Arabidopsis thaliana: one gene and its partners. The protein of the gene in region 3 interacts with the protein of the main gene of each other region in a pairwise test. Each region holds a gene or a part of one and is shown on either strand. Other genes may lie near its edges. The genes, in order: AT1G21790, CYP94B3 and AT2G25520.

Evidence for each region.
Region 1: the proteins of AT2G25520 (region 3) and AT1G21790 interact in a two-hybrid assay, tested with the Arabidopsis thaliana proteins (one large-scale study listed by BioGRID).
Region 2: the proteins of AT2G25520 (region 3) and CYP94B3 interact in a two-hybrid assay, tested with the Arabidopsis thaliana proteins (one large-scale study listed by BioGRID).

Annotation. Positions count from the first base shown.
Region 1 is NC_003070.9:7,648,786-7,659,656, forward strand, and holds AT1G21790 (TRAM, LAG1 and CLN8 (TLC) lipid-sensing domain containing protein), read left to right. Parts: upstream 1-5,302; 5' UTR 5,303-5,571; coding exon 5,572-5,830; intron 5,831-6,107; coding exon 6,108-6,385; intron 6,386-6,576; coding exon 6,577-6,906; 3' UTR 6,907-7,196; downstream 7,197-10,871. Other genes in the region: FBP7 (F-box protein 7), read left to right, coding at 727-736, 935-1,018, 1,111-1,223, 1,318-1,531, 1,666-1,739, 1,834-1,887, 1,983-2,090, 2,179-2,237 and 2 more; AT1G21770 (Acyl-CoA N-acyltransferases (NAT) superfamily protein), read right to left, coding at 3,058-3,141, 3,213-3,464; AT1G21780 (BTB/POZ domain-containing protein), read left to right, coding at 3,691-3,803, 3,883-4,028, 4,269-4,384, 4,476-5,081; AT1G21810 (filament-like protein (DUF869)), read right to left, coding at 7,793-8,179, 8,266-9,671, 9,756-9,852.
Region 2 is NC_003074.8:17,970,308-17,981,178, reverse strand, and holds CYP94B3 (cytochrome P450, family 94, subfamily B, polypeptide 3), read left to right. Parts: upstream 1-4,404; 5' UTR 4,405-4,554; coding exon 4,555-6,075; 3' UTR 6,076-6,326; downstream 6,327-10,871. UniProt on the Arabidopsis thaliana protein: Hydroxylase involved in the oxidation of the plant hormone jasmonoyl-L-isoleucine (JA-Ile), a bioactive phytohormone of the jasmonate-mediated signaling pathway. Converts JA-Ile to 12-hydroxy-JA-Ile.
Region 3 is NC_003071.7:10,855,426-10,866,296, forward strand, and holds AT2G25520 (Drug/metabolite transporter superfamily protein), read left to right. Parts: upstream 1-5,242; 5' UTR 5,243-5,524; coding exon 5,525-6,568; 3' UTR 6,569-6,985; downstream 6,986-10,871. Other genes in the region: AT2G25510 (uncharacterized protein), read left to right, coding at 1,347-1,658; AT2G25530 (AFG1-like ATPase family protein), read left to right, coding at 7,634-7,771, 7,841-8,033, 8,099-8,235, 8,306-8,448, 8,538-8,683, 8,771-8,850, 8,924-9,181, 9,441-9,551 and 4 more.

The DNA of each region.
Region 1 (10,871 bases), on a different chromosome or scaffold from region 3:
GGACGAGTTCTAACACTAAAAATATATTAATTCTGAAGCATATACCAAGATAATATACTAGTTGACTCTTAATTGGTTCCACTATTTGAAAAGAAAACAAAAGGCTAATTTGGTTGTTGAGGAAAGTATGAGAGAAAGGAAACTCAAGCAGATCGTCGAGGAGATCAAACGTTACTTTTACTGTCCAAGCGTTTATCAACATTTACAATTTTATTGACTTGTTCAACATGCTTGTTCCTTTTTTGGTCCTAATACTTTCAGTTTTTTCACTAAACAATCTAATGGAAGAACGAGAAACAGTTAAACTAAACCAATTGGTTAAAGATATTGAAACCGACCTTGAACTGATTTAACTCAGAAATGTCGGTTTCGTTGTTTGTCTGAATTTTGTGAACCTCGAGAAAACAATAAAATAATATTAAAAAAAAGACAGAGAAAGAGTCTCTGTTTCTATCTTCTTCTTTTTTTTTCCCGGTAACAGGGAGCTCGCACGGGCGGCTACGAAATCGCTGTATTTTCAAATCGTCTCTCAGTTTCCATGACTTCAGGTATTGCAATCTTGGATTCAATTTTATTAATTTTGACGAATTGAATCAGATCAATACATGACACCGAGAACAGATCAATTTTGAGAAATTTTCTCTGTTGATTAAACTTTCTCTATATTTTCATTCAAAAATCATTATGATGGGAACCGTTTGGCTTTGAGTATCCTTCGAAACTCGTATGATTGGAGGTGAAAATAATTTAGAGATTGATCTGGTAGTCTCGTGAATGTGTTCAATTACAAAATTGAGAAACGAAAGGTTTTTAATTTATTCATATTGAACTTGTATTGATGCTATCACTGAGTTTCAAGGTGAAATTGTGAGCTATTTATTGATTCTTTTGTGAAAGAAAGAAACTTGATTTCATTGGTGCTTGTTTGTCACAGATGCTCTCACTATACCATCTGAGCTTGAATCTGCCTTGCGGCTCAGGACTGTACAATACTTTATTACAAAAAGGCCTTGGCTTGGTACATCTCTAATCATTTAACACTCATTCTCTTGTCTGTTTTCATCTTATCAAGAATTGGGTTTATGGTTTGTAATGAGTTACATTTTACAGATCTTTATGGAGTCCATGTGAGGCCTGTGCCACCATTCGGAAGTACAAGCCGTAAACCTCATTTTGATCCAGCTTTGATTCATCGTTGCTTGCCTGATGAGCTTCTTTTCGAGGTTGGAGCTTTCTTTATACTATGTTTTGTCATTGTACTGAAATTTGTTTTTCTTATGTACTGGAGAAGTTGATTCTTGGATATGTTACTTGTAGGTGTTTGCTCGGATGATGCCTTATGACTTAGGTAGAGCATCTTGTGTTTGTAGAAAGTGGAGGTACACAGTTCGAAACCCTATGTTCTGGCGTAATGCCTGCTTGAAAGCTTGGCAGACTGCTGGGGTTATCGAAAACTATAAGATCTTGCAGTCTAAATATGATGGATCATGGAGGAAAATGTGGCTTCTTAGATCCAGAGTTCGTACTGATGGTAATCTTTCTTTCTTCATCCTCTTGCTTCACGACATTCTAGCGCCAAGTGATTGTTTTCTTTTGTATGCTCTGACTAACATCGTGTCTTGTTATATCTTTATTGATTAAAGTAACTATGTATCTTCTTCTCAGGTCTTTATGTGAGTAGGAATACTTACATTCGAGCTGGAATTGCTGAGTGGAAGATTACAAATCCAGTTCACATTGTAAAGTCTTTGTCTTTTTCTTTCTTTTCTTCTTCATCTGTCCAATACAGACACATATAATAATCTGCGTCTTCTTTTGGAAAATTTGTTGCAGGTTTGTTACTACCGCTACATAAGGTTCTACCCTTCTGGCAGATTTCTTTACAAGGTTTGCACTCTTCGATATAAGTAGGTATAAACGTTGAGCTACTGGTGGGATCTAGTCTGATAATGATCCATCCGTATTTGTTGTTATTCCTTCAGAACTCTTCACAGAAATTGAAGGATGTTGCCAAGTACATGAACTTTAAGGCTTCTAAATCTGAAAATCTTTACAAAGGCACTTATACACTGTCAATGTCGGATGATAAGGTTAGCTCCCTCTACTGCCTTTTGGCTGGTAATCAACAACATTACATCTTCATAATCCTGATTACTGAAAAACATGTTCTTTTTGCAGATCGAAGCAGCTGTTCTGTACCCAGGGACACGCCCTACTGTCTTAAGGATTCGTTTAAGGTACTTCAATCCCTCAAAATATGTGGATAGAGAAGACTTCTTTTTAGTAATAGCATTTAGAACCTTGGTCTGGCATTGGGAAGAAGGCCTGTTACTTATCTTTTAAAGTACCGTGTCTAGTACATTCATCTAAGACTTATCTGATCCGGTGAATGTGATGGGGTTGAAATTTTTAGTAGCTGATAGTCATTTTGATCTTCTTGGTGTGGATATGTTTTCGGGTGTGGTTAGGTTAAGAGGAACAGCTATTGGAGCGAATAACAGGATGGATTTGCTGTCACTTGTGACAAGTGGTGTGAACGATGAGGAAATAAGCAGCACAGAAGAAGACATTCTTGGGTTAGTTGAAGGTTGGGAAGACGATGAAACTCACAACCCGGATATACCTGCCGTCTCACACAAGAGGGGTATGACTGCATTCGTCTTCGTTCCTTTCGAAGAGGTAAGTAAACTATAAATTATTGTATACTCTTCCCACCTATAATCTTAGTTACATTGATTTGATCTGAATATCTTCCTTGATGTTATTAGGTTGACGAATCGGTTCTGAACTTGCCACCGGAGAAAATGGATTACTATGTCACTGGCTAAAGAGACACATCGAAGTTTCTGTACAAAAATGTATCATAGAATAATGTTTTCACGTTATATTTATTGTTACGACAAACATTAGTGTTTGTTTGTTGCTGTCGAATTGTGAAAAACATACATTTTGGGATTTTTGTTTGTTTACAGAGATTACTTGAAACAAGCTTTACTATTGTAAGATAATGTTTTCAAGTTTTTATTATACACCAAAAGGCTTTAAAGCAGGACTTGATCAGATGCTAGACTTGAGGTTCTTGGAATCATCCTCTGAGTGAACCAGACGCTGCCACGTTGGGTTTCGATGAAGAAACGTTTCCTGCAAAACACGACATATTTTCATAAGAATCTGATTCATCTCAATTTTTTGAGGAAAGAAGAGATGTATACGGAAACGTAGGAGCAAGTGGGGATGATGGAGAAAGAGTGTTCAGAGGCGTGTTCGAAAGCGGCGACGCATAGATGCGAAGCTAAACCAAGTCCTGCTTTTGACGGCGGTACGAAGGTTCGAACCAGATCCATGACTTTACCGTCATTCTTCATCTTGTACTCTATGAAGGCTTCGTGATCATCAGTCTCGAATCTATGTCTTCCTTCGTTCCACACGATCTTCGGTTTCTCCGTCGCCGTCCCCGTCGCCATTTTATCTGTTATCTCTCTAAGTCTAAGTCCACTCTCTTTCATTTCAAACCGAGAATTGATTTTAATATATCGTTAGTAAACCGGTTTAATGGATAAAAACGTATAATCGTCGTACACGTGGCAGGCGATGGAGGCGGCAGAGTGTTTTGCTTGCTTCGTCGTGTTATTTGGCGTGAAGTAAAGAGTTCAGAGAGAAAAGGAAGTCAAAACTTCAGAGAGAAAGTGGATGGGGGACACGAAGGTAGAGACAATCTCGAGGTTAGCTCAATGGAGAATTGAAAATTTTGGTCCTTGTTCTTTCAAAAAGTCCGATCCTTTCAAAGTCGGAATTTGGAATTGGTAAGCTTTTCATTTTTGGTTTATTTTGGTAAATTTTCTTCGGAATTTTGATTTTTGTTTGTTTTGGGATATGATGAAGGCATCTGTCTATAGAGAGGAATCGCTATCTATCAGTGAGGCTATTCCCAGAACTTTCTCGAGTATCTAAAGAGCAACCTCCTGTTGCCAAATTTGTTCTTCGTGTCTCCAACGTTGGCCCCAATCGTAGATTCTACATCTCTCCTGGTATGTCTTGTCTTTGAATTGACTTTTCTGGATTTGGAATTTGAATTCTATTGTCGAGCTCGAATTAGGTATTTCAGGAAAGGGAATTACCTTTTATGTGGGAACTATATTCAATTATGTGGAATCTGAAAGATATTAATTTAGATGTTAATGATTGGCTGATGATTAGTAGTACCTTATGGGATGGTTACAACTGAATTAGGTTTGTTTAAGCTGAGATACTCTGTTTATTTGGTGCAGTTTATGAGAAGCTGCTGCGTACAACTGATGATTGTGTGTGGCATGTTGACTCCAGTTTCCACGGTCGATTCACCATTGATGTTGAGTTTCTTGATCTCAAAATCTGCCCTGTGAATGTAAGCTTAATGATTCTATTTATACTCTCACAATTTCTTCTCTTTGTAACATTTGTACTTCCATGGTTGATCAAATCAAATCATAATCCAGGGTGGTGAAGCTTCTCCTGTTTGGCCAACCGATGCAACAATGCAATCAATCTCTACTCAAACCACTCTCAAATGCTTATCCCGGATGCTAGAGGAAAGCATACTAACCGATGTAATCATCCACACAGCCGATGGAACACTCTCTGCTCACAAAGCTATCCTCTCAGCTAGCTCAACTGTTTTCAAAAGCATGTTCCACCACGACCTCATGGAAAAGGAATCATCCACAATCCACATAGACGACATGTCGAGAGAATCTTGCATGGCTCTACTAAGTTACCTCTACGGAAACATAACCCAAGAAGAGTTCTGGAAACACAGGCTCGCCCTCCTCGGCGCTGCAAACAAGTACGACATAACGGATTTGAAAGCAGCCTGCGAGGAGAGCCTAATGGAAGATATAAACTCGAGTAATGTGCTCGAGAGGCTACAAGAAGCTTGGCTTTATCAGCTGGAGAAACTGAAGAAAGGGTGTTTGATGTATTTGTTTGATTTCGGAAAGATTTATGATGTCAGAGAAGAAATCAGCAGTTTCTTCAGGCAAGCTGATCGAGAACTGATGCTGGAGATGTTTCAAGAGGTTTTGTCTGTGTGGAAACCGGTCTAATATACACTTACACACATACTTTGAACATTTCAGCTTGATGGTGTTTTGTTTATAGTCTTCTTGTTCTCTTCTGTGTGTGTAACTAACAACAACTCTGGATTTTGTTGTATCACTCTGTCTAATGTATAGTATTGAGTGGATTTGCCTCTAGTTTGGTGTACCGAGCCTCTCAAATGGGCCGAGCCTTTCAAATGGGCTGTGACTAGGCCTAATGACTGTCGACATCGAATGTCGGCACAAAATATGATAATTTTGTCGATGTTGAAATCGTACGTTTTTTGTTTTAATTAGATGAGTCAGCATCAGGAGGATGAAGTATCGACCGACACGTGTCCGTTGCGTCCCAAAGTAAAGCTTATAACGTGAAGGCATTTGTATCGTCTCTTCCGCCAAAATTGGAAATGGATATCGAAGTTTGAGCTAAGAATCCAATTTAGGGTTAACTTTGCCGGATTCTCAAGCAATCTCCGAGAGAGACAGTGAGGTTTCGATGGCGAGGAACGGGATTGGGAGTTCAGGAGGGAAGAAGAATGGGGCTGGGCAGTTTTTCTTAGCGACGCTGCTTCTTTGGCTTGTCTCCGTCGTGTTTGAGATTGCTTTCAATCTCCGGACGGAGCTTCTCTGGGTGATTTGCGGTGGATGCTTCTTTCAATTGATGAATTGGGTTGTTCGTTCATGGATTTCTCGTGACCCTATATTTGTTAATACCTCTGTCTCGCTTTTGCACTCAATCATCACCTCCGCATCAGGTCCCTTTCTCTCTTCTCTTATATTTGAGTTCTTACTATAGGATTGTGCTCTGTTAGTGGGGAAATTTTATCATAGGTGTGCACATTGGTCGTTGGTATTAGTCAATTTTCCTTTGGTGCTGTGTTTTCACGGTTTCATTGCTTAATGTGATTCTTATTTCCGATTGGATTAGTCTTATGATTGATTGCCATAGCTTGAGTATAATGCAGTTCTTTCTTCGTTAAGCCTTACTGATTATGATTTTTCATCTTCAACACTGCTCTTGTGTTACTACAGTGGTTTTCATACTTCTCAATCAATGCTTAGCCAAAGGTTTAGACGAGATGTTTGATCATTCTGAGTTGGTTGGTGGGACTTGGAAATGGGCATATCCAGCTTTGTGTTTCTCATGCGGCTACTTTGCATATGACCAGTGGGATATGCTTCAGTACCGGTTATACAGCGGCTTAATACCTTCTATTCTTGTTCACCATCTAGTCCTCCTTGTTTGCTTCACATTGGCACTATACCGAAATGTAACCATCAACTACCTTATTCTTACTCTCATCTGTGAGGTACGTTCCACTTTTTTCTTCCTGAAAACTTGCCCTGGCTTTTCTCTGTTCTTTACCGAATCTATGCTAACATTCTCTAGTTAAACTAGACTAGTTTCATATATAACAATCTAGTTAGATATAGACTCAACTCTACAACATCTACTTGTTCGAACAAAAGTGACACCTCTGTTATTCGGATGTGTAAACAGATGCATTCGATCTTTCTACACGTGAGGAAGCTAAGGAGAATGGCAGGAATCCGAGACAGCAACACAGCATTGGTGAAACTGGAGTGGGTATTAAACTGGACAGCCTTTGTGTTTGCGAGATGCATTCCTCACATTCTCATCACTATCAAGCTGATCAAAGACGCACACAAGTTTGGGAAAGGCGTGGAGTTACCACTCGCTCTGTCTGGTATGGCAGGAATGAACATTCTTAATGTTGGCCTCGGGTTGGATCTGTTTCATGCTTTCAGAAGAGAGAGAAGCCACAGAAGAAACCAAGAGAACGGCAACCTTCACGACCATGGAGAATAATAGCTAATTTAGAGGCAATCCATTACCGAATCTATGGTTTGTTGTTGTATGAATACTACCCACTCATCTCTTGTTTATATCTGAGGCTTTGCTACTAAGTTCTAATAGCTTTCAGATTTGTATGTATCTCTCTATAGGAAAACTACATGTAAATGTTATTTCTTGATGATTACAGTCAACAGACTTTTTTTCTTCTTGTGTTTGGGGAAACGGAACCAAATTAGAATTTTGGTTTGATCTTTGGTTGTGATTTATATATCATAATCATTATATAAAAGTTAATCTTAATGAACTTTGGTTTATTCAGTTAAATTTTGGTATAATCTTTTCAATCTATTAGGAAAGTTTGTTTAGTGTTGAGTTGATGAAGTTTGGTCCGGTTCAGTTTCCACCAATGTTTGGAAGAAAAAAAAATGCAAGAGCATGAGAGGTCCTACCGGGAGTCGAACCCAGGTCGCTGGATTCAAAGTCCAGAGTGCTAACCACTACACCATAGAACCTCAGGTGCTTGTTCTGTTGCATGTACCAGTTTAGAATCTAATCCAAAATATTGTATTTTAGACACGACCAATGAATAGATTCAACATCAGCAGTTCAGCAGCACCACAGATTGCAGTTTTCTTTGTCTTTATCTAACCAAACAAAACAAAAATCAATATTTTACTTGGTGACAATGCATCATATGAGACCATCAAACTGGTGACAGTGAAATAACAAAGATGAATCTCACAAGACATAAACGTTAAGAAGATTACACTATGTAGCAAAAGAAACAAGGGTGATCTTTTTGCTACTAACAAGTCAGAATCTGAAAATTATGGTAAGAAATCCAGCTTAACAACAGATTGATTCTAGCTATACTCCAAGAACGAACCTATTGCTTCTCCTAAATCCCCAAATTTACTGAGTTTCTACTTCGAGTGAAAACCGTGGCAAATCCGTTGCGATTCTTCTCAGAACTCCCTCGGTTTGATGACATAATTAATGACACTGTTGTTGAGTCCGAAGAAGATGAACAAGGAGGTGAGGTCTTGTTATTGCTGTTCTGGATTGCAAGAAACTCAAGTGATCTTCCATTGATTGTTTTGATGCACTCATGAGGATCTTTTCCTAACAAAGCTTCCTTGTTGTGAACTGACCTTGCAGAACCTGGAATGCTAGCTGTATCGATCAAGAATTCTTCTAGTGTTGCAAGAGATTGTAGCTGTTTCCCAAGTGATGCTATTGTTTTCTGACAATCTGCAAATTTTCCTGCAGCTGTTGCTATGTCTTCCTGCAATAGAATCAGCTTTTAGTGAAACAAGGATTAAGAAAAAGAAAAAAAGACTAATTGGTGATCAGAAAAATAAAAAGCTATACCTGTTTGATCTTTGGTTCCACTTTTTCTCTCTTGATCATTGTCTTCTCTTCTATCTCTCTTCTAAGCTCTTCTTCAAATGTCTCACACTTTTCCTTTAGCCCATCAGAGACAATCCTCTCCTTTCTCACCTCTGCTTCCATTCTGGTCACCCGAGATTCGGCTTGTGTTTTCGATTCATTAGCTAGTTTAAGCTCCCTTTTCATCGCTTCCAACTTCATCTCAACTTCTTGAAAACAAACTCTAGATTCTTGATATTGATCTTTAATTACGTCAAAAGATATCTTTAGCTCAGCTTTCTCAGCTTCCATCTTCTCCAACTCATCTTCCATCTCAATTTTGTCACCAACTACAGCTTCGAGTTCTAAGCTGAATCTCTTCTCTGCTTCTTTACAACAAATAACTTCACTGTCAAGCTCATCCTTTTCTGCTTGTAGCTTCTCCAACTTTGTGTCAACTTCTTGAAAACAAACTCTTGACTCTTGATATTTATCTTTGAGCACGTCAAAAGATGTCTTTAGCTCAGCTTTCTCAGCTTCCACCCTCTTTAACATATCTTCCAACTCCATTTTGTCACCAACAACTGCTTCAATCTCTAAGCTCAATCTCTTTTCCGCTTCTCTACAACATTTAACTTCTCTTTCAAGATCATCCTTTTCTGCTTGTATCTTCTCCAACTTCTCCATTAAGCTCAATTCATATCCATCCTTGGAGTTTTTAGCCTGTGTCTCAGTAGGAAGAGCCACAAGACGTTCCATCTCAAGGAAATCATCCATGAGATCAATTTCAGTTGATGAAGTAGTGCCCTGAAGACTTCTATTGCCGCCTTTTTCATTCTTGATTTGATCTAACTCAGAAATAAATGCTGATGATGCCCATGAATCAGAGCAACTCCCCTCAACTCTCTCCCTTCCTCCATCTGAATGACTATCCACAGATTGATTAGATGATAGCGATGATGATGTTTTAGCCAAAATCCTAAGCTTCCTGCACTCAGCTTCGAGTTTCGCCAACTTCTTTATGATGTCTAAATGCTGCTTACTAGCAGTTTCTGCTGCTTGAGTGCTCAAGTCCCTCTCAATCATCACAATCTCAAGGTCTTCACGCTGTGTAAGAAACTCGCGTCTCAGCATCATGTTTTCAGATTTAGCAGCTTCTGCTTCTTTCTGGAGCTCAAGAACTCGCTTCTCTAGACCAGTGTTAGCAGAATGCAACTCCTTGGTGCTCTCAGTCACAGCTGCTTGAATATTCTTCTCTTGTTCATCTCTAAACTGCCTTAGTTGTCTCACACACTCCTTAAGCGCCCCATCAAGATGACTTACCCTATCTTCCAAGACAATGTTCTTATCAGCCGCATCCTCGAGCTTTTGCTTCAGCTCAACCACTTCATTCTCAGCTTTCTCCCACCCTTGAAAAAAAACCACAAGAGAAAATGCTTTCACTATAAAATGCTAACTCCAGAAGCAGGATCAGAAAAGGAGTGACTAATTACCAGCAACAGCATCTTCTGCAACTTTGGCATGTTGTTTCACTAGCTCATCTTTGGAATCCATAACTGGTTCCAATATCAAAGTAGTACCAGTCATCATCAAATCACAAACTTAAGTACCTTAAGAAGAGAAAAATAAAACAAAACCAAACAATTTTTTAGGAACTTTTGAAAACATATGTATAAAAAAAAAGAGGTAACTTGGCTTATCAGCTTTCCCAGATTTTGCTTTCAGGACACTCTGACAACAAATCTTAAGTACTTAACTATATAATGGACTGGACCACAACATTTCCCAGAAGAACACAAAACTGGTAATGATTTTAGCAATCACTTCATAACATGTCATTAAAAAAGAACTACAACAACATCTTTCTGTTTCGTTTCGTGTAATGAACAATTTGTTACAGAACATTAGAAAAAAGAGTTGAGGAGAAAACAAGATTACCAGACTAGAAAACAGTTGCAATATGATATGATTCTTCAAAACCAAGAATAAATAACATGGCCAAAAAAGCGAGAATTTCTTTCTTTTTGTGGTTGTAATTCTTTACAGTTTTGAAATGTCTTTTTTTTTCAATTTTCAAAAGAGGAAGAGAGGGAGAAGATATCTAACTTTTTCTTCAGCATTTAATGGAAGAATACAAATTTGAAAAACTTTTTCTAGTTCCATGAAATAAGTGGGCTGCTGTAAGATATCTACCACATATTATTTGGTCCAAGCCCATTAGTTTAGATATTTCAAGCCCAATGAGATATATTGCACATTTTATTCATATTTCACATTAACATATTTATTTATCTGAAAAAAGAAAAATACAAATACAAAATGAAAGCCGAACTATGATCAATAATATTAAATTTTTACAAATAATTACCATTAAAATGCAATATATTGTGATGGGTGTTGTTGCTATGTAAGTAACAAAGCAGCGCTAAGTGGATAAATATTGATACAAACTGTAATGAATTAAGTATCGTCTAATAAACTTTTGGAAATGTTGTAAGTTGATAATAGTTCCAAGTATACGTCATTTTCTTTAGTTCAAGACTTTGAAATTTGAATCTCACATGTTGTTGTCACTCATGAATCACGACCTACGTTTATACATATAGACC
Region 2 (10,871 bases), on a different chromosome or scaffold from region 3:
CAGAGAAGATTACTCAAGCAGAAAAGACTGTCTCTGAAATAGTAAGTAACCAACAGCAGGTTGGTGAGAGTTCTGTTGCAGGTGGAACAGTTGATGTTTCATCTAGTGATGATGAGTCAGAGTATTTTGAACCCGAAGGAGAAGCTCCAGCAAGCAGTGAAAGACTGAGCAATTATCAGTTAGCTAGAGATCGGGTTAGAAGGCAAATCAGAGCACCTATAAGATTCTCTGATTACTCTCAATTTGCATATGCTCTTATGGCAGCTGAAGATATGGACAGCAGTGAAGAACCTAGCTGTTATCATGAAGCTAAAGAAACCAAAGAGTGGGAAAAATGGAATGCAGGAATGGGAGATGAAATGCAGTCACTATTGAAAAACTATACATGGGATATAGTAGACCATCCCAAGAATCAGAAAATCATCAGTTGTAGATGGCTGTACAAGAAGAAACCAGGAATTCCCGGTGTGGAACCTGAAAGATACAAAGCCAGACTAGTAGCAAGAGGCTTTACTCAGAGAAAAGGAATCGACTATGATGAAGTGTTTGCACCTGTAGTCAAGCATGTGTCGATAAGAATCTTGATGTCTATTGTTGTTCAAGAAGATCTAGAATTGGAACAAATGGATGTTAAGACTGCGTTCTTGCATGGTGATCTGGACCAGCCACTTTACATGGAGCAACCTGAAGGGTATGTTGCTGATGAACAAAAGGATCAAGTGTGCTTGTTAAAAAAGTCACTCTATGGGTTAAAACAAGCACCACGTCAGTGGAACAAGAAGTTTAACTCTTTTATCATGGATCAGAACTTTATCAGAAGTGGTCATGATTCGTGTGTTTACATAAAACAGGTGAGTGATGAAGAGTTTGTGTATATACTGATATACGTTGATGACATGTTGATAGCAGCTAAGTCAATGACTGAAATCAACAAGATCAAAGAGGCGTTGAGTACAGGATTTGAAATGAAGGATATGGGTGCAGCTAGTCGAATACTGGGAATCGACATTATAAGAGACAGAAAAGCAGGTACATTGCGGTTGTCTCAGACAGGATACTTAGAGAAAGTGCTTCACATGTTTAATATGACTGAAGCAAGACCTGTAAGCACACCTATGGGAGCACATTTCAAACTTGCCTCAGTAGTTGAGGAAGAAGAGTGTGTGGACACTGATAAAGTTCCAAACTCAAGTGCTATTGGCAGCATCATGTATGCCATGGTTGGCACCAGACCAGATATAGCTCAAGCTATTGGAGTTCTAAGCAGGTTTATGAGCAAACCAGGTAAGATTCATTGGACTGCAGTGAAATGGTTGCTAAGATACTTAAAAGGGTCTACAGATTTGAATCTGGTTTTCACCAGAGAAAAGGATTTCAGAGTTCAAGGCTTTAGTGACTCTGACTATGCAGCAGACCTTGACAGGAGGCGTTCAACAACAGGTTATGTATTCACTGTTGGTGGAAATACAGTAAGTTGGAAGTCAAATCTGCAGAGCATAGTGGCTTTATCAACCACTGAAGCAGAGTATGTTGCTTTAACTGAAGCAGTGAAAGAAGCTTTGTGGATTCAGGGGTTGTTAACAGAAATGGGATTCAAGCAAGAGAAGGTTACTTTGTGGTGTGACTCACAGTCAGCAATCAGTTTGGCAAAGAACAACACGTTCCATGAAAGAACTAAACATATTGCGATCAAGTTCAACTTTATCAGGGATGTGATTGAAGAAGGAAGTGTTGAAGTTCTTAAGATCCATACTTCTCAGAATCCTGCAGACATGCTTACCAAAGGCATTCATGTGCAGAAGTTTGAGTCAGCTTTAGAGTTTCTAAAGCTACTCAGGTGAGGTGGAAAGACATCTCAGCCGAAGGTGAAATCCAAGTAAGTGCAAGTCCACTAGTTATGGAGAGATTTGAATCAAGGTGGAGTGTTGTTGGTTTATATCTGATTCAAACTCTGAAGTTGGTTTGGTTAAGTCAATTGAAGATTGAAGCAGTCGGTTATCTCTGGTTAAGGGATTTCTGATTAAACCGGAAATTAAAGAAGAGAAGTCAAAGACTCTAACTGCAGTGGAGGGTTTGACTATTATACAAAGAGTAACAGAGTCTGTTACGATTATCATCTTCTTCATCTGTTTTCTTCTTTGAAGTTTTCTTGTATCGAGAGAGAGAGAACTTGAGAGAATCACCATTGTTGTAAGCTCGGTTTTAGTTGTACTCTTCATAAAGCTTAGTGGATTTGCCGAATTGATTCGGCTCCGGATGTAGGCTTGATCACACCGATCTTGCTGAACCGGGTAAACAAATCGTGTGTCTTTATTCTTCGTTTTCTGTTCTCTGATCTTGCATAAGTTGAGATCGATCATTCGCAACATCATTTCGATCGTTCTTAACGCTGAATTGAATCTAATCGGAGCTCAATTTCGTAAGAAGTTGTTATTGAACTTGAAACATTTCATTAAACTTGCAAAAGAAAAAGTGAGAAGACGTGAGAAGAGGTGAAGCAAAAGATCGTTTACCATAAGAAAGGAAAGAAGAAGAAGCTAATAGAGTTCATGTCGAGAGGAAGAAGATAACTCAACAACAACAACAACAAGAAACAAGTCATGGATTGAGGCTAAAAGGCTATGTGAAGTTTTTTTGCTTCTGCCTTTCTTTGCTTTTCATTTGGCTTACAATTGATATTGAACATGATGTAAGTATATGCTAAAACGAATTTTATTTTATCATGTTAGTTTTAGAACAAGGTAATTAGTTATTACACCGACTCTATTAGACTTTAATAAATTTCTCATGCATTCTAGATTGTGATTGATCACAAAAATTGTTTTCTACACTGCTTTGGCGTCTATTGATCAAATAAGTTATGAAATTTCTCATCCACTTACAATAAAATTTTCAAAAAAAAAAATAGAAACCTTTATTTGTCAAAATTATCATAGAAATCTGGTATAACTATTACATTACAACATCAACAACGAAATGTTGTATACATCTGGAAAAATATCTCTTGTATAACCCACGAGTTCTTTGGACGGTGAAGTCATGAAGACAAAAAACGGTTGTTCCTTTTCTTAAGTCATTTTTTTTGCGTGCTACCAATCAATTATGTTGGCTCATATAATTTATAGAACGGCGCCGTTATTTTTGTTCAATTCCGTAATTATTTTGTGTGCGAGCAAGAAAAGACGGTATCGACAACGTGAGTGGCTGAAATCAAGTTCATCTTTCTTTCGTCTCATATAAAACTGACTTTACTGGTTAAATTCAAGCCTAAAGAAACACGTGCACAATTGAATAGCTCTTGTTCGAGTGGGAACAGTTTTGTCAGGCTCTTGCTAGTATTTGTTTTCTTCTTTTCAATGTTTACTTTTCTACATTTCGCCTCCAGATTTATTTGACACCCGACCATTTTATCAAAAGTATAATCGCTTAATTATTTTTAAGACATTAGAATAGTGATTATTAACACATATTGTAAGCCGGAGCGAAATTCATGTTTTCAAGCTACCATTCAAATTTCAACTATACCATTAATACATGTATTATATTCTAGAAACCACGGTTCGATTCAAATTTTGACCTAACAAATATTAATATAATGTTTGGATGTTTCGTAATATTGTAACCATTAATGGAGATGTCGTATATCATTTGAGTTTTTTTGTTAACCATTCAAAGTACACTATAATTAATTTAGTTACTTTAATATAGGTCTATTTTCCTTGCGTCATAGTCTCTATCGTGGTTTTGTCGGAGATATGCCACGTTCTAAAACTTTGGACTTCTGCGTCGCCAAAGCGTTTGCAACACGTCAAATTAGGAAACACAAAAGCGGCTTAGATAGCAAACGAGCGATAAATAAAGGGTCAAGTAAGCCAAACAATATGTAATAAACGAATAAATTAATTAAAAGAAATGTTTGATGTCCTATTAATTTTATAAATTCTTTTTTTTTGTTTTTTTTTTAATTTTATAAATTCCTTATACACAAATGTGGTTTTTTCAGGAAAGTTGTTCAATGTGCTTATTACAATATTAATCATTTGATGATACATACTCACAGTTACACTAACAGTTCAATATCCTGATGGAGCTTATCACTAAAAGAGAAAATCTATACTACAGTATTAGGAACTCGAAACAATATCGTCATCCTAAAAGAGACAAAATAGCCTGACTAAACATTTATATTTTCGTTAGGACAATTCTCAAAAAAAGATACTATATATTAGACTAAAAAAAGGAATGAAACAGTGACATACAGCTACACTAAAGACAAAAAAGGAGATAAAATAATATCTCCGTAGACACATAATAGTATAATACCGTGTTACGTCGATCAAAATGTGATATAAGAAATCAAATTAATACTAAAAGCGATATGTTTCGGGACAGATTGGTCCGGACCCGCCACCTTTCCCTTTCTATATACACACACGCAATACCCACCAAGAACACACACAAACACTTAATTAGCAATATAAAAAGCACATTCACAAACTCTTTCCAACACACCAACACAAAAAAAAAACCAAGAACAAAAAACAATTAAACAATATGGCATTTCTTCTGAGTTTTTTGATACTAGCGTTTCTTATAACCATCATCTTCTTTTTATCTTCATCTTCAACTAAAAAAGTCCAAGAAAACACCACATATGGACCACCATCGTATCCACTCATTGGCTCCATACTCTCTTTCAACAAAAACCGTCATCGTCTTCTTCAATGGTACACCGAGCTTCTCCGTCTCTCTCCGTCTCAAACCATCTTAGTTCCTCTCCTCGGCAACCGTCGCACCATCATCACAACAAACCCATTAAACGTCGAGTACATTCTCAAAACAAACTTCTTTAACTTCCCTAAAGGTAAACCTTTTACTGATCTTCTTGGTGATCTTCTCGGTGGAGGCATATTCAATGTCGACGGTCACTCATGGAGCTCGCAGCGCAAACTCGCTAGCCACGAGTTCTCCACTCGCTCGCTTAGGAGTTTTGCTTTTGAGGTTCTTAAAGACGAAGTGGAGAACCGTCTAGTCCCGGTTTTATCCACGGCGGCTGATGTTGGTACGACCGTGGATTTGCAAGATGTTTTGAAACGTTTTGCTTTTGATGTTGTTTGTAAAGTCTCGTTGGGTTGGGATCCGGATTGTTTGGATCTAACCCGACCCGTTAATCCACTTGTGGAGGCTTTTGACACCGCTGCTGAGATTAGTGCTCGCCGTGCCACGGAGCCTATTTACGCTGTTTGGAAAACGAAGCGTGTGTTGAACGTGGGAAGCGAGAGGAAGCTTAGGGAAGCGATCAGGACCGTGCACGTGTTGGTCTCTGAGATTGTCAGAGCTAAGAAGAAGAGTCTTGAGATCGGAACCGGAGCAGAAGCAAAGCAAGATCTTTTGTCGAGGTTTCTAGCCGCCGGCCACAACGGCGAAGCAGTGAGGGACATGGTTATTAGTTTTATCATGGCGGGAAGAGATACAACGTCAGCAGCGATGACGTGGCTGTTTTGGTTGTTGACTGAGAACGATGACGTGGAGCGGAAGATTTTAGAAGAAGTGGACCCGTTGGTGAGTTTAGGGTTAGGGTTTGAGGATTTGAAAGAGATGGCTTACACGAAGGCTTGTCTATGTGAAGCCATGAGGCTATATCCTCCAGTTTCGTGGGACTCTAAACATGCTGCAAACGACGACGTTTTGCCTGATGGGACACGTGTCAAGAGAGGAGACAAAGTGACCTATTTCCCATACGGTATGGGGAGGATGGAGACGCTATGGGGTACGGATTCAGAAGAGTTTAACCCGAACCGGTGGTTTGATTCTGAACCGGGGAGTACACGACCGGTTTTGAAACCTATTAGTCCCTACAAATTTCCGGTTTTTCAAGCCGGGCCGAGGGTTTGTGTAGGGAAAGAGATGGCATTTATGCAGATGAAATACGTCGTTGGTTCTGTTTTGAGTCGGTTTGAGATTGTGCCGGTTAACAAAGACCGGCCGGTTTTTGTTCCTCTTTTAACGGCTCATATGGCTGGTGGGCTTAAGGTGAAGATCAAGAGAAGAAGTCACATCCTTAACAACGTTTAATAGAATATGTAAAAACGAGTTATTTATATATAGAATATCAGTGTGGCAATACTCCTGCCTGCGAAATCAATCTGTATAAATTTGTAAAACATACCAAAACCGAATATAATCAGGTAAGTTTTGGTTCAATTCCTTGAAACATAATTTTTTGCATCGAGTTAGAAATAGAGCTTGTAGTCTTGCCGCTGACCCAAACGAAACCAAATTGGATTGAGCAAACCGAAAATAACCAAATAAGCCCAAAAATCAATAATCTAGTTAGGAACTGGCCATGTAGATGTTGAAGCTAAATGAAATGTGAACAGTGAGAACCAAACCAATGAGAATGTCTATAATGTCAATTCTTTTGCATTGTTGTAGACATGTAGCTTATTCTTAGTTGTAAACATTTGTTAATAAAGTAAACAAAGCGAATGTATTGCAGCATCCGACCTTAGCTCAGTTGGTAGAGCGGAAGACTGTAGTCTGTGACAGCAAATCTTTAGGTCGCTGGTTCGATTCCGGCAGGTCGGATTTTTTGTTTTTTGTGGGATTAACAATATTTAGCCCAACATATAAAGCCCAAGACTATACAGAGACCACAATACAATTCTAATTATAACCCAAATAAACCCTTCAAGGTAGTATAAATAATTATACGCATCTTACTTCAAAAATCTCATCACTCTCTCATTCTCCACAATTTTATTAGTTCACAGAGTTAATCTCACTCTGTAGAATCAACCTAACTTACAAAGGCACACACCGATCGCTTAGATGTCAAGTTGTCAACAATTTTCAGCGAGCAATGATCTATCTTTATATTTTTAAAAGAGAAGAACATTTGAACATTGTCCAAAATCAGTCATTTATTTATTTTAATTGTCATTAGTTATGGGTAAAAATTGTTTAATTATAATTAGAATATATTAGTTTATAGTTAAAATAGTTAATATCAAAATCATTTGTTTAAGGAAATACTAAATTTTTATTTCTCCATTGGTTTTAAAAAAATATATATATATATATTTTTTATTAATTAGAAAAAATATTTTCTTTAATTAATTAGAAACATTTCAAAGATTTTATTAAAATGTTTCGTCTCATCTTTGTATGATCATATTTCGAAAACAGTAGAAAATACATAATTCAAATAACAAATAAAAAGTCTAGATTGTTTTCGCACAATAATTTGAAAACTCTTATATAAGCTTTTGAATTATTGCTCCAACTGCTAATCTGCTATATCAAAACCCAGCAATTGTTTCTATAAATTATAAGCTAAATTCATAAATTTTAAAATACAACAAATTTTATATGACTTCCATAAACTATTGAATAAAAAACAGGGGATGTAATTTATTATAAACTATTTTAAGTGAATTATATGTTCAATAACACCAGATTGGGAAGACATTTGCAAATAATAAATTGAGTAACAGAATTTTGTTAAAAAAAATAAAAGTCTTCAAAAATCATCACTCCAATACATTTTCCTTAGTATTATACTATCATTACCTAGGTGAGTAGGTTCATTTAAAATTTTCAATAACCAAAATTTGCCAATTGTGCTAGTAATTTTTCTCAATCTTCATTAGGACCGCCATTGTATATAACCACATAATTTGTGGATATGTCTGTGTGTAAAAGTAAGCCTATCAAACGGCCGGTAACCTTTATTAGTTTTGAGAGTAGAACATCAAATAAAAAACAAATGGAGAAGTGGTCTAGTCATGGCTACTTTGGTATAATTGGAGTAAAAGACATCTATCTAGTAGTGCTATTGTCCTACAGGGGACACTAGCTTGGTGACTCATCCTAGTTCTACCAACCAGATTACAGTCCTCACACGTGGCTCAAACAACTTCGTCATTTTTCCAAGTTAGGATTCTTGGTTTTGGGACTTTTACGGCCTTCAAGACGAACCTAATTCTTCTATTCTCACAAATTCTTTAAACCCTAATAAATATCTTATTTCGGGTTGGCTAGTTTTCATTGGTCGAACATGTCTGCTTTTGTTCTCTTGAGTTCACTTGTGATTACTAAATGACGATCTCCATTGGTTTCATTAGTTAATAATCAATTAATTTGCGGATGATAGTACTATAGTAGTATTTGTTACGAAAACTGTTGGCGACGCGAACTGTGTACTACTATTACTGTATCGGATACTAATTAATTATACAATTAGGTATCAAAGCAGCAGGTGAGATTATAGAACGTAATCAATGTTTTCTTTCCTATGTAATCAATATCTTTGAAAAATGAAAAGCATATGTTATTTCTTTTATATTCTAAAGATAAGAGATTGTCCGCTTTCTACTTTTAGAAAGTAAATCGTTCGTTTGGTTGTTCTAATCACTATTATTAGAGACTTCTCTAAAGGGAAACCCTCCAGGCTCCAATTATCACGTATAAAATAATATCTATATCATGTACTATATATAGATAGAACAAATGTTAATTATTGTAGTAATTTAGGCTTGTATCTACTTTTTATTCATTATACAAGAGGAGTGACGTAAATCTTGGTCAATTCATATTATACCTTTGGAATCCTCCACTTATCGTATTATAAGTTATGCATAAATTATATGTAATCTTATTATGTACATTACATACACCATTCCGATTATGGAAGCACATCTCAACTTTTTAACCTTTTCCCTGAATTTCATGTGAGAGTTACGTGTATCTTTATATTCAAGTTCAAGTAAGTCACTTGGCAGTTGGCACGGTCCAGAGATACGATAATATGAAAATAATGTTCTTGTATAAAACTAAAGGTAATTGGTTGGTATAAACATTGCAATTGACGAGGCTCATGTACACAGTACACAATTAATCGATACTCAAATAATATTGTTTATTATTCAGTATTTAGGAGTTTATTTACGTTTTCCTGAAACAAGAAAGATAAATGAGTTATAATTAGCTTTTGTTGGTGTAATTTAGATTTAATTAATTACTGTTTTATAAGAACTTTGATCCGTATAATTTGGTTTTCAAAACTTTCCTCCTCGCATATAAAAGATAACATTGCTTCCTTACATTTTAGAACTATCTTGAAGTTAATCTTGAAGTGCGAATATAATATTAGATGGCCCTCAGAACAACTGTCTTCATCGGAAGATCAACTCAATATTAATTATAAGAATCGAATCATATTTTATTAATTGAACTGATAAGATTTGTGAAACTTATCTTATGAACATACCAAATATTCAAATTGCGTAGGTAGGTACTAGGTATTGTGGCAACCTATATGAGACGTGCCACGTGTTCCAGACGGCATATTAAAAGAGGGTGAACATTTTTGTTACTATATTTTATACAAGTAACTACCAAGCCTTGCCCACCAATCAATGAATCACTTTTTTTCTTTTTCTTCCCAAACATAGTAATTATATTATATATTTGAAATGGCTAATCAGTCCAAAAAATCAAGACGTACAAAGAAAAAATTAAACTTCTAAGTCTAACACTATATGATCCAAACAATTTACTAATTAAATTATTATAAACATGAAAACTGAAAAATAGTTTTTTTTGCTAAACTAGACTGAAAAAATAGTTGTAAACGGAAAAAAGAAAACATTGGATACCCAAAAACAAATCTAGTGATGTTGAAAACACATACCATTTCCAATAAGAAGTCATCTTGATCAGTCCATGCTGTTTATCTCAAAGCAGAAGCAATGCAACTATTGATCGTGAATGCAAATATATATGGTCCACGACTCATATTTGAATGAAATGTTAATTCCACATATTAAACCGTACGAAATGATATTATTATTTTATTTTTTAAAGATATTAAAATCTTTTTGAACTACAATTCCAAATGTTGATTCCAAAACTCCACTGAAAAAAACAATTAAGATCATTCTAGCTAACCATATTAAACCTAATGATATTTAATTTTGTTTTTCCGAGTTTTGTAGTTCACAAACTAACAAGATTTCAAAAACTTCAAGAAAAATTGGAAAACCAAAGTGTGGACGGAGTTACCAACTCTAAAACCTGATATTTATAAGAAAACATGCTAACATAATCATAATTATAATGACTTATACCAAATTAGATTTGAATATTTGACTACTGATGTCTTAGTCGAAAAAAAGATTGTGGTTCTAGAGTGAAAACACTTCCAGCGATAAATGTGCTGTACTTAAAACATATAAAAAAGTGATGAGTACTTTATGCTTAGTATAACTGGTTTTGGTTAATTTCATTTGATTAAATAAACAAATAAAGTTAACTACTAATAGTTTATGTGATGATTATTATAAACATATTCTTAGCAAAAAAAAAAAAAAAGATTATTATAAACATAAGCTAATGAATTGTCTTAACGTGTCCTTTTGCGTGTTCTCATGCAAAGTTCACAACACGGACCACTCGTAATACTTTCTAGATTCCCTCGCACCTTCGAACACTACTATCCCAAATCTAAGATTAAATAGTTTTTTACAAGATTTGTTTGGTTAGAACTCTAGTCTAAGTTTAAGATTTGGGAATTTTGTTTATTAACTCACTCTCAGATTTGAACCTAAGTTATGAAACGACAACAAATATTACGAACCAAAACTATAAATTCTGACTGGTTTATATTCACTCATTTTATCATTCATAAACCAAGGGATTAAATGAACCTTTTTTATGACATATAGAAATTAATTTTTTTTAATGATTTTTTATTTTTCATTCTACATAAAATTTATTTAATACAATTCCGTTATTCTATAATACAGTCAATCGTATTATCTAAATATTACTTAACATCCAAATTATTTTAGACTAAACTGTTGGTGCAT
Region 3 (10,871 bases):
TTTTGATAAGTGTAGTCCTAAATTGTTCGTTGATTTCATACGTATAAACACAATAGAAGAAACACGTTTCTTCCAGAAGAAGTAAGAAAACTCTAAATATGCAAACTACACAAGGAACAGAACAATCAGAAAAGCAAAAACAAAATGCATTTACAGTGAAGAAATTAATATGTGAAGATTCCATTAGACGCGTCAATGGACAAACAGTTCATGATGCTAATTGTACATATATATGATATATCAATGATCCAATAAAAACTGCTGAGGCAAAACTCTAGGAACAGAGAATTAGGGTTTTGAGATTCAGCAGATTCAAACTCACCAAAAGAGATTCCTTAATTATAGGTAAACATACGATTTTCGAATGTAGAAGAAGATTGATACGAGGGAATGAAGCTGGAACGAGAGCTGGAGAGAAAACAACAGATGGCTGTAATTTTGCCTCCTCAAGTTTCCTGGTGTTCGGCCTCGTTTGCCGATTAGTTTGGTTTGGCCCATTTCTTTATTTCGGTTATCATCTGTATTTGGGCCTTAGCCTTTGTTTTTGTATTCATTAAAAATCAAAACGAATAATAAGTCTAATATTAAAAAAGGTTATTATTATTTTAGATATCATAATAATTTAATACATAATCACAAACAAATATTATTTTATAATATAACACGTAAATACAAAAATTTGTTAAAAATGAGTTCTCTGCAATATCGGGTTCTTAACCCAGTATAATTAGTAATACAAATATGAAAATAAGGAATATAAAATGATCTTTTAAAATCATATGGCGAATTGGCTATTGAAGACTTTTCACCAAATAATACAACAAAAACTTCGAGACTCATAAAATAAGTGATCCAACTAAGTCGTCGATGACTATAAGCTTTTAAGTCTCTCGCTAGACTGTCCACAGATTTCTTCATCTTCTTTGTCTCTTAGCCTTTCTATATTATCCACCATATCTTTAAATTTCTTTTATAATTTGCTGTATAGCCTATATAAATGCATAACCATGAGTGACACTAATAAGCAAAATAAGAGGGAATATTAAGATGACATCTACTATGGTTCTATTCCTCCTTCTTCTTCTTGTGTTTCCGCATATGGATAAAGCCCTAGGCGCACACGAGGAATCCCAGAAACAAGGTTAGTCTTTTGGTATTTTAGATGTTCCGAGGTCATTAGTATCATTTTACGTTATTAATTAGTTGTGTTTAATCCTGATTTTGGTTTGAATTTTGGAATTTCTCCTCATTTGAATAGACAAATGAGCACAAAGATGATCAAACATTGACACTGTAATATATAATGTAATGCTTTTCGGGTGGTGTAGGTGCAGAAAAGACTTACCATGATGCACGCTTTACTATTCCTATTAAGCCAAAATATATTCCTAAGGTTATACGCCCTACGCCAAAAGATCCGCCTATTCCGGAATGTCTTCGAAAAGGCACATGTAGTCGTCTTCATTTATCTCCTCCTCCGCCCCAGAGGTCTTTCAAAGGCACAAACGAACCTGGTCATTGACCTCAATCTAGCTTCGAATGCGTGTGTGTGTGCATGTTTCTTACATTGTGGTTTGGTTTGTGGCTTCTGTCTTTGTTTACCTATGCATGTGTTTGTCATATTTTATAGTTTGTCGAACGGCCGCTATAATAAATAAAACTTGTATTTCCTTTTGTGTTATAAAACGCCTCTTAATTACTTACGTTGGATCGTTTAAACTCAGACATGCTAAACCACAAAGGCCATTATCCTATATATAAAAGATGTGGTGTCTCTCGAGCGATGACACACATCACCATAATTAAATCATGCATTAACTCTTTCTTCTATGAAAATAACATGTTTCCATTTATTAATTAATTTATTTAGATTTAATTTAGTTACAAAAGTATATCAAACACATAAATTTAGATCAAAAACCCAAGGACACTGATCTAACTTGTTTTTTAGGTTTTAAAATTTTGGACGTAAGTTTCAAATAAAACATTGGATTGGGATTTAGGTTTATAATCCACTCGCAATGACATATGAGCATTTTTTAAAAAGGGGTGGTTCAGTCTCGATCGGTCCAAATAGACAGGTTTTGATATTTCGGAGGGCTGAAACAATTTTTTTTTAAACAGGATTTATTTGATTAATTATAAAAATTATAAATATTATTTTGTTATAGCTAAAAAAACAAAGTTGGGATTTTAAAAAAAATATCATCTTCTTAACACTTTTATATATGTATATTATAAGATAAAGGTTAAAATATAAGATATTTGTTGGTGCAGTAGAAAGAAAAAAAAAATGTGCAAATAAAATTAATTTTTGTTTTTTTAGAGAAATGATTATTGGTAAGTAAATAAATTAATACTCTTATTTTGGGCCTTTCGGGACTTATTTTTTTACTATTCGAGGGTCCTAAGTCATTTGGCTGCCGACCTGCTAAATATGGGAAAGGATCCTCCCTTCTTATTTCTCATCATACTAATCTCATAAGATATAAAATTTACTCACTCAATGATTTGTGTCCATATATACTAAGTTGTTTGCAATTTAGACTTATTCAAAGTATTCACGAAATACGAACTCATAATGTCGAAAAGTAAAAATCAAAATATTGATAATGCTAGACAACATAAATCAACACATGGCTACCAACAAAAAAAAAAAAGACCTATATGGATATTATTAAAAAATAACAAATATATTGTGTCACGACAAATAATTTCAATACATACATACAATTTAACAAAGTTGCATTAAAAAAAAAACCCAGTGGTTTGGCGCGAGTTTCGCCCTAGTATACCTAATTTGTATAGCATCTAAGTAAATTTTCCTTATTAATATGAAAATTTTGACAAAAAAAAAAACAGAGGGCTATAATTTTGGGCATATTAATTACTAATTTTGGTCATTATTAATATTTTTGGAAAAAATTTTATCCAACATAGGATAGTTTATATAGCCAAAGTATTTTGTTTATTTTCAAAATCTTTTTTTTTTTTTTTTCAAAATCTCATTAATATAAAACTCAAATAAAGTTATATAAACTGACAATATTAATTGTTAACAGTAAAAAAGAAAAGAAAAATGGAAGAACCGCACATAACAAGTTAGAAACACTAAAAAATATATGTACAGATCATTCATTTTGTCACAAAACTGAACAACATGTGGTTCATATAATTTTTTTATATTTAAATATAAGAAACAAGCTTTTGTTAATAAAATGACGAATGGAGAAGAAGAATATACGGTTCCTCCACATTAGCAATAGAACCATACTGTCTCCACTCTTCCATTGAAGGTAAAAAAATGTAATGGGCTCTCTCTCTAAAGAACGGTTTTTCTGGCAGAGTTCCGTCTAAGTTTCCAGTTGAATCCGGCTTTGGTATCTGGCTTATGACACGACTAATTCAGTATCTTATTTTTGTTATTTATATGAATAATGTCCACGGTTTTAATTATGGGGATGCCACTTTATACGGTGATTCGTTTAGGTGAAGGTTTTACTTCTGCTTGTACTATTGGGTCCGCGGTTGATAAATACTATCAGATATGATTGCATACTTGCATGTAACTGATAAAAATAATATTTGTTACTTTACGTATTTTGAATTACCAATTAGCCTGTATTTCAAGTAACCAGAACTACTAGTTACTAAGCAAGCAGTTGTGCACTTATTAGATCATAATAATAATAAGTACTCAATAACTAAAATCACCTTAAAACGGAAATTAAAAAAATGATCGACTTTGATGTTATCATATCCGCCACTTTTGTTTCGTTCTCTCGGGCTGAATCGTTTGTTTCGTTCTCTCTATCGTTACTAGCTCTCTGTTTCTTGTTTTGTCTCTATTCATTAACTTTGCTTCCCTTATTAGTAATTATAATTTATAAATTCTAAATGATGTCTCTGTAAAAGAGAAACAAAGTAGATAAATATTAAGGGAGAAATGTAAATGTAACTGCATAATCGGTTTGCTACAAACTTATTTTTCCCTCCTAAAATGTTTCTTTTCTTTCTTTGCAAAAGATTCATTCGCTATATGCCTGTATTGGTTAAACATTAGTAGAAGTATTTTTGCAATTGGCGTGCAGAACATGGGAAGTTAGTAGCTACTTTATATATGGCCACATGACTTCCTCGCACGTCACGTAATCGGTGAAATGCTGTCCATGTGACAGTCAGACTCTTCGTAAAACAAATGTTCCGAAAGTAGTAACTACGGATAATTTATTTATTTTTGCAAACGTTACTGTAGTTACAAAATAAATAATGTTCCTTTGTAACTTTGGCGTGGGATTTCCAAAAAGTCTCTTGTCACATGAAACGGTTTTGAAAAATTTATAATCTCACTTTGAATTTGGTATATGTATTCAGACGAATGATAAGATACCAAATTATTTTAGTCGTTTTAATTTATAGATTTATTACTAACTTTTTTTTTTGTAAATTTAAACTTTCAGATTAGGCAACACCAAATAAATGATATATTTAATAGAAAATGTATGGTCGAAAAAAAATATTGTAATGTCTCTACACCAGAAGCTTTTGTTTTGACTTTTGAGTGTTTGAATCATTTGAAGTTTTGAACAGAATAATTCCACAATCAAAACCAAATAATATTTTATCAGGCGAGCGAAAGACAAGATTTTGACAGGTATTTGTACAAGTACTGAGTCGGTCAACAAACCCCGTCTGGACTCTGGACCCGAAGTAACCCAACAAACGTTGCGACAACTACATTAGCACCACCACCAAGGCACCAATAATGCAACGTAAGAGGGACGCAGCAAAACTGTCGCGATGTGAGATTCACGCGCTCTAATTTAAACGTTGACTCTTTGTTTCATCGTTACTCTCTCCCATTTATTTACTTCGCATACTCTCTTCGTTACAAGTTTCCATTTAATTACTCTTAAGTCTCTAACTAATAGCTTTAGGGATTCGTCATTAATTTAAGGCAACGTAAACTTAAAGAGTTTCGACTAAAAGCCGTTTCAGGAAACATACATCATCACATACTTTATCTAAATAACTGGCTTATTAATTTTATAACAAAAATGACGTTATTTAGTGTTAAGATATACAAATATTTAATTTTTACTAAATTAGTTAAGGTAAAATTGTGTTCCTTTCTGTGAGTTTTCCGCAATATTAAAAAACCCTAGAGAAATTAACAAAACGTAATTGACTAAAAAAAGAGTTCAAAACAAAACATTTGTTACATTTATTTCATAATTTAAAGACTAAGTATAAATCCACTAGAAAACAGATGATTAAAAATGCGGGTCCCACAATACGCCAATCGTCAAATAATCGCGCACCTTTTCGCCACGTAGCATAACAAAGTCACGTAAGCCCTTCCTCTACATTACAAGACCAAACTCAAAGTCTCTTTCTCCCCCAAACCCAAAAACATTGACCCAAAGAGAGAGAGACTTCTATCGTGCGCACCTCTCTCTCTTAATCCTTTATCCTGCGCACCACCACCACCATCTTCTTCTCCGGCGAAAACAAACCCACCGCCATGGGGAAAGGTCGTGCACTTTCCGACGGAGTGATCAAAAAGATCATCCTTTCATACACCTATGTCGCAATCTGGATCTTCCTCAGCTTCACAGTCATCGTCTACAACAAATACATCCTCGACAAGAAGATGTATAATTGGCCATTCCCAATAACTCTCACCATGATCCACATGGGTTTTTGCTCTTCCTTAGCTGTGATTCTCATCAAAGTCTTCAAAGTCGTCGAGCCTGTTTCAATGTCACGCGAGACTTATCTCAGATCCGTCGTACCAATCGGCGCGTTGTACTCACTTTCTCTCTGGTTATCAAACTCTGCTTACATCTACCTCTCTGTTTCCTTCATTCAAATGCTCAAAGCCCTAATGCCTGTAGCAGTTTACTCAATCGGGGTTTTGTTGAAGAAAGAGACTTTCAAATCTCAGACTATGACTAACATGCTTTCGATCTCGTTTGGTGTTGCTATTGCTGCTTATGGTGAAGCTAAGTTTGATGGTTGGGGTGTTTTTCTTCAGCTTGGTGCTGTTGCTTTTGAAGCCACTAGGTTGGTTTTGATTCAGATCTTGCTTACTTCTAAAGGAATCAATCTAAATCCAATCACTTCTCTCTATTACGTTGCTCCTTGTTGTTTGGTTTTCCTCTCTGTTCCTTGGATCTTTGTGGAGTTTCCAGTTCTTAGAGATACTTCGAGTTTCCATTTCGATTTCGTGATCTTTGGAACCAATTCTGTTTGTGCGTTTGCTTTGAATCTTGCTGTGTTCTTGCTCGTTGGGAAAACCTCTGCTTTGACTATGAATGTGGCTGGTGTGGTTAAGGATTGGCTCTTGATTGCATTCTCGTGGTCGGTGATTAAGGACACGGTCACACCTATCAATCTGTTTGGTTATGGACTTGCCTTTTTGGGTGTTGGATATTACAATCACTGCAAGTTACAGGCGTTGAAGGCTAAAGATGCACAGAAGAAGGTTCAGGCAAGTGATGACGAAGCTGGGAAGCTTTTGGAAGAGAGGGAAAGTGAAGCTAAACGCAACGAAACCCAAGATTGATCTGTTCTGATTCAAGAATGCAATTTCAGGAAATAAGAGCTTCAAGGTTAGAATGATTTGGGAAGATGGATTTTGCATTTTCATAGGTATGATTATCATTGTCGGTGTTCGTTCGTCTACGTTTTAGTTTTGCGATTATATTTTTAAGTTATGGCTGATTATATTACATAGTGATGGATGGGTGTTTAATTAGAGGTTCATGAATCTTTTGAACTCCATTGTATCTTCTTCTTTTGAGTTGTATTTTGTTTCTTACTTCCTCATGAATCTATCTTTGTGGGTAACAATTGTTTTAGTAGTACTTCTTTATATTTTTTCCCTCCATTGAGATTGTTAAATGTCAAATTGAAAGTCCCTTTTACGTCTCTCTTTATCCAATGAAACCGTTGTATGTTGGAAGGCACAAGAAGATGGTCAACACCAAAAACTTTTTGATATTTTATGGGTTATGTAGGATCATTTAGTAGCAAGATCCACAATTTAAGGAAATAAACAAAATACCCATACCGACGTTCCCTTGCAATAATATGACACATGACACCATCATATGAATACAATGGTCTCATTTAACCTCTACAAATATCCTTCCTTTAGTCTCAACAAGTTTCTGTCCTGAGTAAAGGGACAGGCCAAATAGGTGTTAGATACCAAACTAAAAACATTCAAACAGGCTCACGGGTTATGGATTTCTCATCAGCGAATATTTGGGAACTTTTAACACAATTCGGATCTACTCTCGCTTGGCATAAAAGCTGTTTTGTTCCAGAACAGAATTCATAAGCATGCATTGGTGCTTGGTTTGTCACTTTGTGAAATGTGACTTTGAATAGCCATCCTACCTCTTGGCAGAATTGTTTTTGGATTTGGGTTATATCCTATCAAATTCCAAAACTTAACAAACCAGTTTTGTTTGATTTCAACTGGAATCTTATAACTAGCTCATAGTTCCTACATATCTTTTTTTTGTTTGAATCTACTACATATCAGGCAGTAGTATTCTAGACTCGGACGAAACTTTATTAGTCCAAATTAGGCTGCACCAAACGAAATGCAGATACATCATACATGTCACGGACCGGACCACATCGGGTTTGGCAGATTTGGCATCCTAGTTTTGACATCTCTACCAAACCCACTAAAGAAATCTACACGGACACTAATAAGCCAAATCAGCAATACGACAAACGGTCCATATTCCACCACGTGGCTCTCTTATAGTTCGTCACGTCGACACCTATTAATACCGTTCTAAATTCTTCTCCGGAACAGTAGCTAAACCGTGATCGTAAAGCTAGTCTCCAGAGAAGAAACCACAATCGGAGTCTGAAGCAACAAATTATGCCTAATGTTTCTCAGATCTCTACTGTTCTACGTCTAGCGTTTTCTTGTAAAAGAAGACTCTCCAATGGCTTACACTTCGTTGCTCGTTCCTATTCCACCTCTGATCCTCCCAAACAACCATCAGGTACTTTCAGAATCTTCAATTCGTTGAGAATTATGCAATTGAGATTAATGTCGCTCCTTTATCAGGTCCACTGACGAATTACTCTAAGTTAGTGGAGCAAGGGAGGTTACAACATGATCCATACCAAGAGAAAGTTGTTTCGGCATTCGAAAATTTGTTTGGAAGATTGGAACATTTCGAGAAGCAAATGGAGGATTATCATGTAAATTGCAAATAGTGTAACAATTTGGTTCAATTGTTTGCATATAGATGTGTAACATTTCGGTGTTTAGGTGAGATTAGCAGAGTGGGAGAAGAAGAGAGAGGAGGAACGAAGAAAGCTAATGGTGGAAGAAGCTGAGAAGAAGGAAGATGATGGAATGTGGGCATCTGTGAATAAGCAGGGACAAAAGCTTTTGGGAAGATGGGTATTAGGGTGAGGTTTTTGTCAATGGCTTCTTTTTTTAGTTGAATATTTGTTTGTTAGTTTTTTCAAATGGTTTTGTTTTCTTTCGTGTGTTTTAGGCGGAGACAGATGAATGTAGAACCTGGAGTTGGTAAATGGGTATCGTACCTTAACCGAGAGAGAAAATTGGACTCGATTGTCGGTTCTCGTCCCGCGGTACCACCAGCTCCAAAAGGATTATATATCTATGGAAATGTAGGATGTGGTATGTTAATGGATGCTACATTATGATCTTACCGTGTAGCTAATATGGTTAGGTATTTAAGACAATGTTTGGTGTGTTTTCATGTAGGCAAGACTATGTTGATGGATATGTTTTATGGTGCTACTGATGGGATCATTAGACATAGACAACGGTTTCACTTTCATGAGGTGAGTGAGCCTTTAGCGGTTCTTCTTTCAAATTAATTCAAACTCAATATATTTTCCATTTCTTTCTTTGTAGGCTATGCTGAAGATAAATGAACAAATGCACAAGTATTGGAAGGAGAATGGTGCTGAGAAGCCAATGCAATATAGCATTTCGAGCTGGATTATGAATCTTCCTGTTGATGAAAAAGTTAAGGAATGGCTAGCAGGAGAAGAATTTTATAAGCAGCAACTCCAAATGAAACACATTCTTCCAGCTGTGGCTGATAAGTTTCTCGTTGATCAGCAATCGAGTAAAAAAGGAGCTAGCATCCTCTGCTTTGATGAGATTCAGGTAACTGTATATATGGAATTAGAAAAGAAACTATAGCATATAATTCATTCTTCTAAGCATATATATTGATTATGAGATAGTTATTAAGTGATAAAAACTAGGCTCGCTAATTGCTTATCACTCAAAAAGTCATAAAGCCAATTCAGTGTTCTACGAGGGCTTAGATGAGACTGGACTTGCTTAGTTTTGGTCTCATATGCCATTGCAAATAGTGTTCAATCTTCCCATAACTTGGAATTTCTTGCATCTTCTGTTACAGACAGTTGATGTATTTGCTATTGTGGCCTTATCTGGAATTATGAGCAGATTGTTGACTACTGGAACTGTTCTTGTGGCCACCAGTAACCGAGCACCACGGGAGTTGAATCAGGTTTCCTTTTCTTTTCCTCGTTAAGCCCTCTTCTATTTTCAGCAAAGAGGTCTCTTTAACTGATTTCATGAAGGACATGTATATTGATTACACAGAGTTTTTGCGCTGAGCCACTAATTTTCTTGCTAATGTTGTTGGTACAGGACGGAATGCAGAAGGAGATATTTGATAAGTTTATCTCTAAATTGGAGAAACATTGTGAAATAATCTCAATTGGAAGTGAAGTAGATTACCGCCGAGTTGCAGCAAAAAATTCGGCTGAAAATGTGTGAATCACAGACTCTTTACATCGTTTAATGTTGTGTTCTTTTTTGCTTCTGTTGACGAAATTTTAAACGTCCATTTATAGGTTCACTACTTATGGCCTTTGAATGATGCTGTTCTGGAAGAATTTGAGAAAATGTGGCGTCAGGTCACTGACCAGTACGGTGGAGAAATAACTTCGGCGACTCTCCCAGTGATGTTTGGAAGGTACTAATGATAGCAATGGTTTTTCTTTTTTGATGGGTTAAATCAAACCATAATGGTCTTTGTTGTGTGTGTATCATCAGAACAGTGGAAGTTCCTGAAAGCTGTAGTGGAGTGGCAAGGTTCACATTCGAGTATCTATGTGGTCGACCGGTAGGTGCAGCAGATTATATCGCAGTGGCCAAAAACTATCATACAATTTTTATATCTGATATTCCAGCAATGAGCATGGAGATACGCGACAAGGTATAACTAAAATCAAGATTTATGGCTTTTGATGTTTGCTGATTCCTTCCTCTTAAGGACTTTTGATGTTATCAGGCACGTAGGTTTATAACCCTTGTAGATGAGTTATACAACCATCATTGTTGTCTTGTCTCAAGCGCGGAGACAGCAATTGATGAGTTGTTTCAAGGAACTGCAGAGGGAACGCTCTTTGACCTGGAAAGGTAAGAACACATAATTGACAATCTGGTTTACGGTATGATTCTGTTCAGGTTTAGTGGGTTTCCCGGTCTTTATTTCTGTTTGTTTTTAGGTGAAATTTGGTTCGTTTTAGATTCATTTTGACTCAGTAATGGTTTTATCATTTCGATTTGGTTTTGGCTTAATCATTATGATTCAGTTTGATTTACATATGCCAATCCGATTACACTAGAATCAGTTTTTGTTTGGTATCAGCTTTAAAGTAATATAACCAATAGGATTATAAACACAGTTCGATATGGTATCGGCTTGATCATTTTGATTTGGTTTCGGCTTCATCATTTTGATTCAGTTTGTTTATATGCCAATCCTTTAAATTGCACCAAGATGGTTTACTTTGTGTGGTTATCACATAAAAAACTTGCA